Drosophila melanogaster: one gene and its partner. The protein of the gene in region 2 purifies or fractionates together with the protein of the main gene of each other region. This does not show direct contact. Each region holds a gene or a part of one and is shown on either strand. Other genes may lie near its edges.

Evidence for each region.
Region 1: the proteins of arx (region 2) and Su(var)2-10 purify together in Drosophila melanogaster (affinity purification with western blotting, with the first as the bait; one study listed by BioGRID). This does not show direct contact.

Annotation. Positions count from the first base shown.
Region 1 is NT_033778.4:9,114,376-9,121,374, reverse strand, and holds Su(var)2-10 (suppressor of variegation 2-10), read right to left. Parts: upstream 5,254-6,999; 5' UTR 5,053-5,253; coding exon 4,924-5,052; intron 4,758-4,923; exon of another isoform or gene 4,219-4,757; coding exon of another isoform or gene 4,198-4,218; coding exon 3,523-4,197; intron 3,459-3,522; coding exon 3,218-3,458; intron 3,161-3,217; coding exon 2,926-3,160; intron 2,870-2,925; coding exon 2,703-2,869; intron 2,637-2,702; coding exon 2,548-2,636; intron 2,488-2,547; coding exon of another isoform or gene 2,476-2,487; coding exon 2,328-2,475; coding exon of another isoform or gene 2,302-2,327; exon of another isoform or gene 1,623-2,301; coding exon of another isoform or gene 1,544-1,622; exon of another isoform or gene 1,465-1,543; coding exon of another isoform or gene 1,422-1,464; exon of another isoform or gene 1,270-1,421; intron 1,076-1,269; coding exon 837-1,075; 3' UTR 598-836; coding exon of another isoform or gene 569-597; 3' UTR 559-568; downstream 1-558. Other genes in the region: Phax (phosphorylated adaptor for RNA export), read right to left, coding at 5,442-5,656, 5,715-5,991, 6,045-6,136, 6,192-6,924, 6,983-6,999.
Region 2 is NT_037436.4:18,900,037-18,903,411, forward strand, and holds arx (asterix), read right to left. Parts: upstream 1,519-3,375; 5' UTR 1,437-1,518; coding exon 1,284-1,436; intron 1,216-1,283; coding exon 865-1,215; 3' UTR 559-864; downstream 1-558. Other genes in the region: CG6843 (uncharacterized protein), read left to right, coding at 1,695-1,766, 1,845-2,873; CSN1b (COP9 signalosome subunit 1b), read right to left, coding at 3,109-3,375. UniProt on the Drosophila melanogaster protein: Acts via the piwi-interacting RNA (piRNA) pathway which mediates the repression of transposable elements during meiosis by forming complexes composed of piRNAs and piwi proteins and governs the methylation and subsequent repression of transposons.

The DNA.
Region 1 (6,999 bases), on a different chromosome or scaffold from region 2:
TCCGTCGTTTCCAATCGATTTGCATTGATAAAAACGGCTTCGATTGCTTTCAATACTATGGACCTTTAATGCCATATGCCATTCCGCCCTGTCTTGCAACGTAACTTAAATGCGAGGACTGCAACACCCTCCAACTGCACACAGCACCGCCTCCAATCCGTACAGAATCCGTAGTTTAACTAAAATAACTTAACTACTTTAAATTTTGGTGCCGCGACTGGCCGCCGCCTGGCATGCATCCTTTCATTTCGCTTTCCTCATAGTGTTCATTGCGCTGACCGCTTCAATGGAAAATAAATTAATTGCGTTTCCTATAGTAATTGCTAATTAATGCTGGTGCTAGTTTGTGTATTTGCAATATCTAGGAATATTTCAGTTGCTGTGTGGTGTGGCGTGTGTTGCTGAGAGCGCTGGCAAAGCGTAACACAACTAACTACTCGAGACGACACGAATAAAAGACACGGGACGTAAGCAAAGTGTTTTGGTGTGAGCCAACTGAAAAAAGGGGCAGCAACAATCTGGCCGATGGGGGAGCACATGGATTCATTCGGGAACAGGGGACCCTCTCCTACAAAACCTGTCTGTTATGCCTGCGTCCTGCAACACAAGAATTACAAGCATCAGTTGGTGGCTCGCGATTGATAGAGTATGAATAATGAGGTGATGCAAGGCGGCGAATCGAACGCCGAAGAATAGCCTCTAAGGTAATATGTGGCCGTGCGCCACCGGAAGTGAAACCGAAAACAGAAACTGGACGGGCCAATATAGGGACCATAACAGTAAGAGACCGCGAGCCGCGAGATGTGCGATTAATGTGTGTGGGATGTGGGTCCTGCCTACGGGCCGGCATTCTGGCTCTGGCCGGAGGACGCCGTGGCAGCTGCAGCAGCCGCAACCGCAGCCAGATCCAACAGTTGGAAGTGCTTTTGATCCGCGACCGCAGCAGCCAGGGATTCCAGGAGGGAGGCATGGACGGCTGCCGTCGCTGGCTGCTCGTGCTGTTGCTGCTGCAGTTGCTGCTCTGAGACTGTCTGCTTCTCTGGCGATTGGCGGCTGGCCTGCTGTTCTGGGGATTCTACGAGTTGCATCGGCGGCAGCATGGACGGGTCACACAAAAAGATCAGGGGAAGAAGAGAAAGAGAGAGAGAGAAAGAAAAAAGACAAAGAAATGCACAAGTTACTTGAATTAGTTTAGTTATTATCATCATATAACCTTGGGTTTAGGTTAACACAACAACAATCGGAAAAGAGGCTCTCAACAAAAACCTTCACTAACAAACTGGCATGATTTATTAAAATTATCACTTAAAATAAGAGTACATATCGTGAAATAATTTAGATTCGGTGACAACAGAAAATACATTGAAAATGAATTAGGACAAATGGTGGTATAAAACCGAAAAATACTCTATTAACTTTGCTTAGCCGACGTTTGGGCGCCTTGAGCTCTCTGGCTTGGGTTTTCTGTAAGAATGTTCTGATTAAGTATGGGATTCTTGTTCCAAACCCGAACCATTTCACAATCGATCGACGGAAAACATACCGTGGGCGCAGCCAAACTCCTAAATGAACACGCTTGTAAAGCTCCTCCGCTTTCTGAGGTTTTTTAAAAACATTACCACCTACAATACAAGCAACGAAAGCGGATAGAGTCAATTTATAGCCTACTTAGTCTATACAAGTTTTGGCTAGGGGATTTTACGAAATCTACGGAAACCTTTTCGATGCTGGACTCCGTAGATCTAACACAAAATTATCATGATAAATAGCCCTTCTGGTCACTTTTTTGAAACATAAACATATGTTTGTACATACTACACGTAAAATTGGGTTAATTTTAACTGGGTGTACTCATACTAAAATCAAATGATGCACTAAAGTCATAAGCGGAATCGGGGACCTAATTATATTTGAATAACAATAAGTGATGATGAAGTCAGAATCATATGTAACATATATGTAATTTTCATTTTGGACAATGTGAATACTCTTTCGAACTTTTGCAGTTAAAATTTTCTAATATTATTTAAGACAATTGATGCACCAAAAAAATACTTTTACGTTAAATGATGTCCTAGAGGTGTGCCGTAAAAGGTGAACCGAAACCTAAATGCTTGATCTTGTTAGGATTTCATTCCTTTGTCTAAATTATTGGTGCCGAAGCGTGGTTGAGTCAGTGTGGATGTATGTAAATGGGATGTGTATGGATTCTTATAACTACTTTACCCTAGGGTCTACAATTAGCAATTTGTAAACATAAAGATTTCTTGGCTATACAGAGATATAATTCTCGTTACTGGCTTATTGCAAAAAGGGATCCAACGTACCGGATTGCTGGGGCTGCTGTGCCGGGGTATAGGCACGTTGGCCGCCACCGCTGCCGTTCGACGTGGAACTGGCGACGGCTTGCTTGGCGGGCGGACGACGCTTAGCCAGCGGCATGTCGTCGTCTGAATCGCTTAACGTTAGGTCAACCTGTTGCGCAGACAGAATACAGTCATATGATAAGACAGTTTGGTAGGTTGTAGATTGGTGCTCTCTACTTACAGTTTCACTGTTTGACGTTGATGTGGGCTGTTCGTCCTGTGCTGGGGACAAATCCCTCTTTACTGGCTTGGCGTCATCCGAGATAAGTTCTGGTAATGTCCGAAAAACTTGATTAATGTCAAAACAATTTAAAAGGTTGCGTGTTAGGCGATTACCTATGTCATCCGATATAACCTCAACCTTTTGGGCGGGCTTTGAAGGCGTATCAAGGATCTGCGTCTCGCTCCGTAGTCCTGGTGTGCTCCAAGATCCATCCTGATGAAGTTGAATCTCAGTATCATCACTCTTTAGAAGCGACGAGCCCAACACCTCCTGGAAGTAGCTGGAAAACAGAGTTTAATCAGTTACAAATATGCTAAATGAAATGACATTTCTTACCCATCTATGACCAGGTTGTCATAAATGGCCGGCTTGTCGCATACAGGGCAGTTCCACGTGGGCTTACGCTCATTCATTTGCAGGTAGAGACTGGCATCGAAGCATTGCAGATGCGAGCAGGTTGATGCTCGACAAGGCAGCAACATTTTCATCTTGCCCAACGGGCAGTTAAGGGAAACCTTCAGCATAGTGGTGGCTATTTCGCAGTCAGCATCCTCAGTCAGCTTCTCTTTGACTTTAAAAAAATGGTATTTATTATTAAGTTTGCATCATTGGAGCACAGAAAACTCACTTAAGCCTCGCGTGTAGTCCGCTGGTTTTACGCCCTTCGTCTTCATTCGCTGCAAAAGCTGTGTTGAGGTGAGCTTCTTTACCAGGTATACGGCCAGACAGTAGCTACGAGTGTAGTCCGGACACCACTGAACCGTTATGGTGTTGGTGACGGTAGGCGACAGCTTTACATTGGACGTGACATTAACGGGTCGCGGCGGACGCTTGGGCTCCACATTTGGTCGGTTTGTAGGAATGACATTCTGCATTGGAATAAAGAGCAGGATATTATACCAGGTCCTGATTGGATAATCGGATAATACTTACAGGCAGCTGACAGAGTTTGTTGTTCACTTTGACGTTTACGTTCGGCGGGAAGCAGTCCTCCTGGTCGCACGAAGTCTCCACCAGGCAAAAGCGCAGTTGAACCTGAATGGCGTGCTCCACCTTGGAGCTGTTGCGAATGTCGCGATTAGAGGCAATCTCGGTGGCCTGCTGCGGCGTGAGCGTGAAGTAGAAAGGCACCTCTTGGACGCGCTGAGTGTTGCGTGGCACCAGAGTTGAAGGCTTAATTAGCGTTCCGAGTACATCGTAGAAGGCTAGCTTTTTCAGCCGCACATCGGGGTGAATAGGCAGCTGGCTGTTGATGCTGTGTGTGTGGAGGAAGGGTGCGCCGCCGACCACATTCATCTGGCCGCCGGGCACTTGCACACCTTGGCCGCTGCCCACGAGGCCCACGGGATTGGGCTGCACGGTGGGCGGCAGCTGGATGTGCGAGTACATCCTGGTTGGGTCGATGTACTGCAGCGTGGCGTTTTGTTCCTGCACGGACTGGGCGTAGACTTCCTGGACCTTCGGGGCAAGCAGTTCCAAGTTGGTGCGCAAGAACGAGAGGATGCGGCTCTGCAGGTCAGTTTTTCGTCCAGCGAATGAGATGTTCAGAAACGACAGGATTTTTTGCAGCTCGACCACTCGAAGCATCTGCACCATTTGCTCACATTCCTGAAGAGACGGAAATGGCATGGCGAACAATGAAAATTTTGTATTTCGGAAAATTGGGAAGGTGTCTATGTCCAAATAGCGGGACTTAGCACCAAGCGTCCACACGAACACACACACAAGCGCGCTCTATATGCAAATATCGCGTTTTCGCACATATGTACACATGCGTATGCCTTGTGCGGCTTTATGCAGAAAAAATCATAAATTCGCTCTACATTATATGCCAAGTGATTGCTTGACAGTCGGACAAAAGCCTGGCTTCCACATTTTTCCCATCTGTGGATAATTTACTGGTCCGAAACTGCCGCATGCCACCAAATCATTACCTAGATGCTCAAACATGGCGTTCTCGCAAAAAGTTTCTTTTCGTGGAACCGATCGGGTTTCAGTGGCTTTTAACGTTGGTATATGCAGAAAATTTGGTAAGGCTTGTGTTCGCCACTGGCAGCCTTCCTTCTTTCGCAAATTGCACTTAAACAAACTACCGCAAAAATGCCCCCTTTTTTGTCACACGAATTTTGTTTTGTCCGCACGGTCTGAAGAAATATGGCGGATGATAGTGTTGTTAAGCGCCGGCGGATTTGGCTGGCAAATCACTCTGTTCGTGGGTGGGGAAGGGTACAGACACCATTTTTTTCTGCGGTCACACTGCTTATCAATAACCATGGCCCCCATATTTATGAAAAATTCTTTGGACTGAATAAACTGAGACTGGCGGAAACATACCTTGTACTTGGTGGAATCAAAGGGATTAACTGCTATTGGCGCTGACGAAGTCGACTGGTGCCCGGGGCTCGAAGATGTTGCGGCATTTTCCGCCTGCGTGCGAGCCGTCTGAGAGCGGGTCTTTCGCATCACTATTATTTTCTATTCACGGTGGCGTTAGGCGTTCGGCAATTGAAGTCGCGGACTCGTTTGCATTTGCCTGGGACGCGCACCACACATAAAAACAAGCAATTGCCGCTGTTTTTCAACGAATGCGGAGAAACAAAAATATTTTACGCGGCGTCGTCGCTGTGGGCCGACTAGAGTTGACACTATCGATCGACACTGCGGAAATCTCTACCGCCTGGCCGAGTCTTGTCTCACGCAGCCCGAAAATGCCCTAACGCGTGCGTTTGTTTACTTTGTTAGCAACCGTTACTTTCGTAGATTCCTAATTCGCTAGGCATTTATTTAATTGTACAAATATGGGTCTATCTATGCAAGAATAGTATAAAAGGGGCCCGCCGCTTGGCGTGGGCCTAGAAAAAGTCCATGTCCCCGCAATTGACGTCCAGAAAGTCGTGGTCGTAGCTGATTAAATCCTTCAGCGGCGCTCCCTGAGCCGCCGCCGCTGCTTTGGATGTGGAGGGAAGTTCCGCATTGTCCACAAGATTTATATTGATCTCGTGGGTCCTGTACTCAGGGCTGTCGTGCTCCTGCTCAGCGCCAACAGGGGAGGGTGGCGGGTTGGACACTGAAATAGTCAAAATAGTCACATAGGAGATTTAACAATAATAATGGGATCTTCTTACAGCTGCCCGGTTGCTTATCTTCACTTTGCTCGTCGCCCTGCATGTAGTACTCTTTGCGCTGATTTAACGTCGGCAGTTCCGTAACCTGCTTGCTGAGGCACTTCTTCAACTCTTCCACCTTACGGTCCCGCATCAACGTTTCGATCTGCTTTCGAGACTTGCTCAGACTCTGGCGATCCTCACTAAAAATGCGCTTCTGCTGCTCCTGAGTGATGTTATCGTGGTGCTTTATTAGGAACAGGAATACCCCGCCTGGTGTACGTCTCCGTATGCCGTTCTGTTTCGAGGTATCGTGTTAGTATATTCGGGGGAACATCCTTTACTACTTACTTTGATCATCATGCCGCCATCGGCTTCAATGCGCTGAGTTTCCTTGTATAGCTCTAGGCACACATCTATGCCAAGAACCTCCACGACTCGAACTGGTAAAACTGGCATTATTTACTAAGTAGGGCATTATTTATTTCACATACTCACCAAGTAATTCGTCCTTTTCCTCGTACAGTTTGCTGGCCATTTCGGTAGCCACATCCGAAGGATCTCTCTCACCCACTTCGTTTAAGTCCAGAATGTGTCTGGGCTCGCAGAAATCGGAAGATCCGCTGGCCGAAGATGTCCCACGACGTGACCGGTGACCCGTTCTACTCTTGACCAAACCGCGCTGTTGATTCCCGGTGATGGGCCGACTAGAAGGTCTTCCCCTCTTGTGAGCTGGATGGGAGCATTCGCCGCCGTCCTCCGAAGAGTTTGAGAGTCGTCGCTTTAGAGTGTTCTCGCCGTTCAGCCGGTATCGCAATGAGAAGTCGTAGTTTTCAACATTTCGATCCCGACCGCTTCGGGTAACGTCGCAGCCACGCATATTCTCGCTGAGCGCATCCTCTTGCAGGGCAGAAGCCCACACGTTGTACTTCTTGAAACGGGCTCGATTCGGTTGCATTTCAGCATCCGTGGGCGGAACGCGCCGCATTACCGTGCGCCGAATGCGCTTTTTCCGCTTCTTGTGGCCGTCGGGTCCGGTGGATTCCGTACGAAGCTTCTTGATGCACCCGTCCTCGGAGGATTCGGCAGTCGAGGAGTCGCTGTTGCTTTGTGACTCGTCCTCTAACGCAGTCTGGATCTGATGGCAGGTGGTAAGGGGACTGGCCACCTTCTCCGCACCGTCAGGTCGCTGCAACGGCGTGTAAACGCCATCATCGTCGCTCTCCGATAGCTGAAAGGCCGGCAGATATGGTCATTAGATGCTCGGTAGTCTGGGTGCTTATGATTACCTCGCCGTCCTCCAGGT
Region 2 (3,375 bases):
AGATTATTGATGTTTGATTACTGCCCGATTAGATTCTGTTTCAGATATAACTTATACTGCCATCTTCTCCATATTTTTGTTACTCTAAAAGTTAAAACCTTTAATTGACTTGCATTAGCTTGAAATAGAGTTTTCATTGAATTTGGACTTATAAAATGCTGTATTTGGCATCCATCCATTCAAATTAATAGTCAAATGATTGATTTAAGTTAAGCTTGTAACCAAAAATCCAAAAATAGCAGATTTAATACGTAATGGCTACTTACATGTATAATCGATCGTGTATTCCTACTATACAATCTTGATAAGCATCAACAGCAAACTTTCAAAGCTATTTAACTTTCCCAAAGAGTTTCATTTTGTAGGTAGAATAAACAGAACAGACCGATTTGAAAAACAGCCAATATTATTAGGATAACTAAAGAAACCAATATACGTCGGATTTCCCCTATTTATATACCCACTTTGGCAATAACGAATTAAAGGTATAAACGAATAAAGGTATTGTTGGGGATAAACTGATAGGTTAAGGAAGAGTAAGAAACGAGTATTTTTTTTGATAAGAAACAAAGTGAAATGCTTTATTTCACGATTATCTGTGTCGTTAATGGAAAAAGGCACATAGTTTACACATGTACATGAATTTGGGATATGTATGTTATTTTCATTATCTCAGAATAATATGAGATTGATTTTGTCATTTGCTCATCTGAACTGCGAGCAATACTTGTTTCACAGCACATGTTAATTTTAACAATTTGGCCGTGGAATTGTTTTTTTTGGTTATAATAACGAGTATAAGCCCCGATAAAATGTTTTGGTTTTTGTTCTTTGGCAGTGGGAGTAATTCTTGATGAACACGAACTACTGGCGCCTTGAGTATGGCCTCCTGTGCTCGTAGGGAGTGGGACGAAGATCCGCGCGAGCCTTGGCCTTCCGCGGCTTCTTCTCCTCCTCGTAATCCTCGCCAAAGTGACGACGTTTTTCCTGCTCGATGAAAGCCCTTCGCTGGGCGGGAAACAACCCATTGGGCTCTCTCACTATGTTGGCCCTGGAACAGTAGACCTGAGGATCGTAATCGGGCACACTCTCGTCGTCATCCCAGTTCTCCTCGGACTCGATCTTCGCGTGTCTGGTGTCTTCGCTGAGGACAGCAGGAGCGCTGGTCTGATAGTGTACTATAATGTTTCGATCCTCGCACGATTGGGTGTGTTGCTACGTATGCAGAAAGCTGGGCTTTAATAGGACATACAAGGTAACTACTACGTATATTCTGTACTCACAAAGAACTGGGGCTCTGGTATCAAATGGGAACTATTGAAGGGACAAACCATAAGTTCCACCGTGTCTTTGTAGATCACACGGCATTTTAAGATGTGCTGCTGGAGCTTCTTGCGCAGCATTTTGTGCTCCTTGTTGTACGGGCAATAAACCATATCGGATTCGTCGTAGTTATTCATCATGAAACAAAACCTAAGGTTTCGAGTTGCTTTTAAAATGTATTCGTAAAATACAAACAGTCCGGCAACGCTTTATCTACTTGTGTTACTATACCGATAATGAAATGCGATACTTTTCTTAGCCTATCGATAAGCGCAGTCAAAGTGCCCTGATATCGCAGCTGGAAAGTATTTATAAAAGTTGTATATTGGTTATTTGTTTGCAATTTGGTAGCGAAATTGCACAGCAGCAAGATGGGCAAGGGCTTCAACAACTACATGTGCAAGAAATTCTTCCACCCCGCCTCCAGGGACAACTTGAAAAGGGTAAGTGGCTCCGGGCTCCTGATGAAATATGTTCTTCCCCAGCAAAACGCCTAAAACTATAGGGATTACCTTCTGCAGGTCTGGATGGCGGAGCAGCAGGCGGAGGCGTACAAAAAGAAGCAGGAGGAGCTACGCAACCAGTATGAAAAGGAGCAGAATTTGCACGAGAACAAGGCAATGCTCAGCAAGGACAGCAAGGATAAGCTGAGCGTCAATTTCATGTACGAGCCACCGCCAGGAGTGCGAAAGGAGCGCGAAAAAGATGACAACGAGCCGGAGTACAAGTTCGAGTGGCAGCGAAAGTACAACGCTCCTAGAGAGTCGTACTGCAAGGGCGACACCGAGATCAGGGACCAGCCCTTCGGCATCCAGGTGAGAAATGTGCGTTGTCTCAAGTGCCACAAGTGGGGCCACATCAACACGGACAAGGAGTGCACCATGTACAGCATTTCCATGAGCGAGGCACGGAAACTGCACGCAGAAACAGAGGCCAGCGACATCATGGCCAAAAACGTGCTGGAGGAACAGATGAAGGAGGATGGCCTCATGATGAAGCGATCGGCACAGGAGCTGCAGAGCATAAGGGCCATTCAACAGCAACATCAACTGGTGCCCAGCGATGGCGAGAAGGACGCTCATGCCGATGACCAAAATCCCGAACTAGTTTTTCTCAAATCCCTGTCCAAGAAACAAAAGCTAAAGCTGTTGAAGAAACTGGAGAAGATTGAACGAATGAAGCGCAAAGGCGAGGGCATCAAGAAGCCCACAAAAAGGAAATCAAAAAAGGAAAGGCACGAAAAAGATAGCAAGAAAAAGAAATCCAAGAAGGACAAATCGAGCAGAAAAGACAAAAAGGGCTCAGTTAGCAATAGCTCAGACTCCTCTTCATCGTCGGACAGCAGCGACTCCGAGGACAATCACAAAAGCAATCACAGGGACGACAAAAGAAATGGACATCAAAGGACTAGGGACTCGGATCATAGCTACCAACGGCGGAGCAATGAAAATAGGCATCGGAGAGATCGATCCCGCTCCAGAGATCGCTCGCGATCGCTTAGCAGAGACCGAAGAAGGGAGAGGGAGCGCAGAGATCGGTCCAGGCGGTAGAATTAGTTTTGTAAAACCCACCAATAAATTTTTATCAATTTGTATCGTCATATTTAAAATTCTAATTTAATTTATATTTCATTTACACGATGAAGTATGGTGCTTTTTCGTTTTTGAGGAACCAACTAGTTTTTAAAATCATTCATTAGCTTTGCTATAATTATTTATTTTGCCAGCTTGTGATATACATATCTTAAAAAATTTATTGGGTATTAAGTGGTGCTTTTAAATTGCTCTAGATTCGGGCGAGTTGAGCAGTTGTCGAGGATCCGGCGGAGACGCAAAGTTCGGCGCCGTGGTTGCTTCCACCCTCCCGGGAAATGCTCTTCACGTGGATGTGGCTCTTGAGCATTGCAGCACGAAGAACAAGCATGCGGGTATGACGCTGGTACTGCTTGCCCATGATCAAAGCCCGCTCAAAGGTGCTGTTCCTTTGATCCGCCTCCTTGGCGAACAGGATCTTATTGTGGGAGTCAATACGCGCCTGGATCTGTCCGTCTAA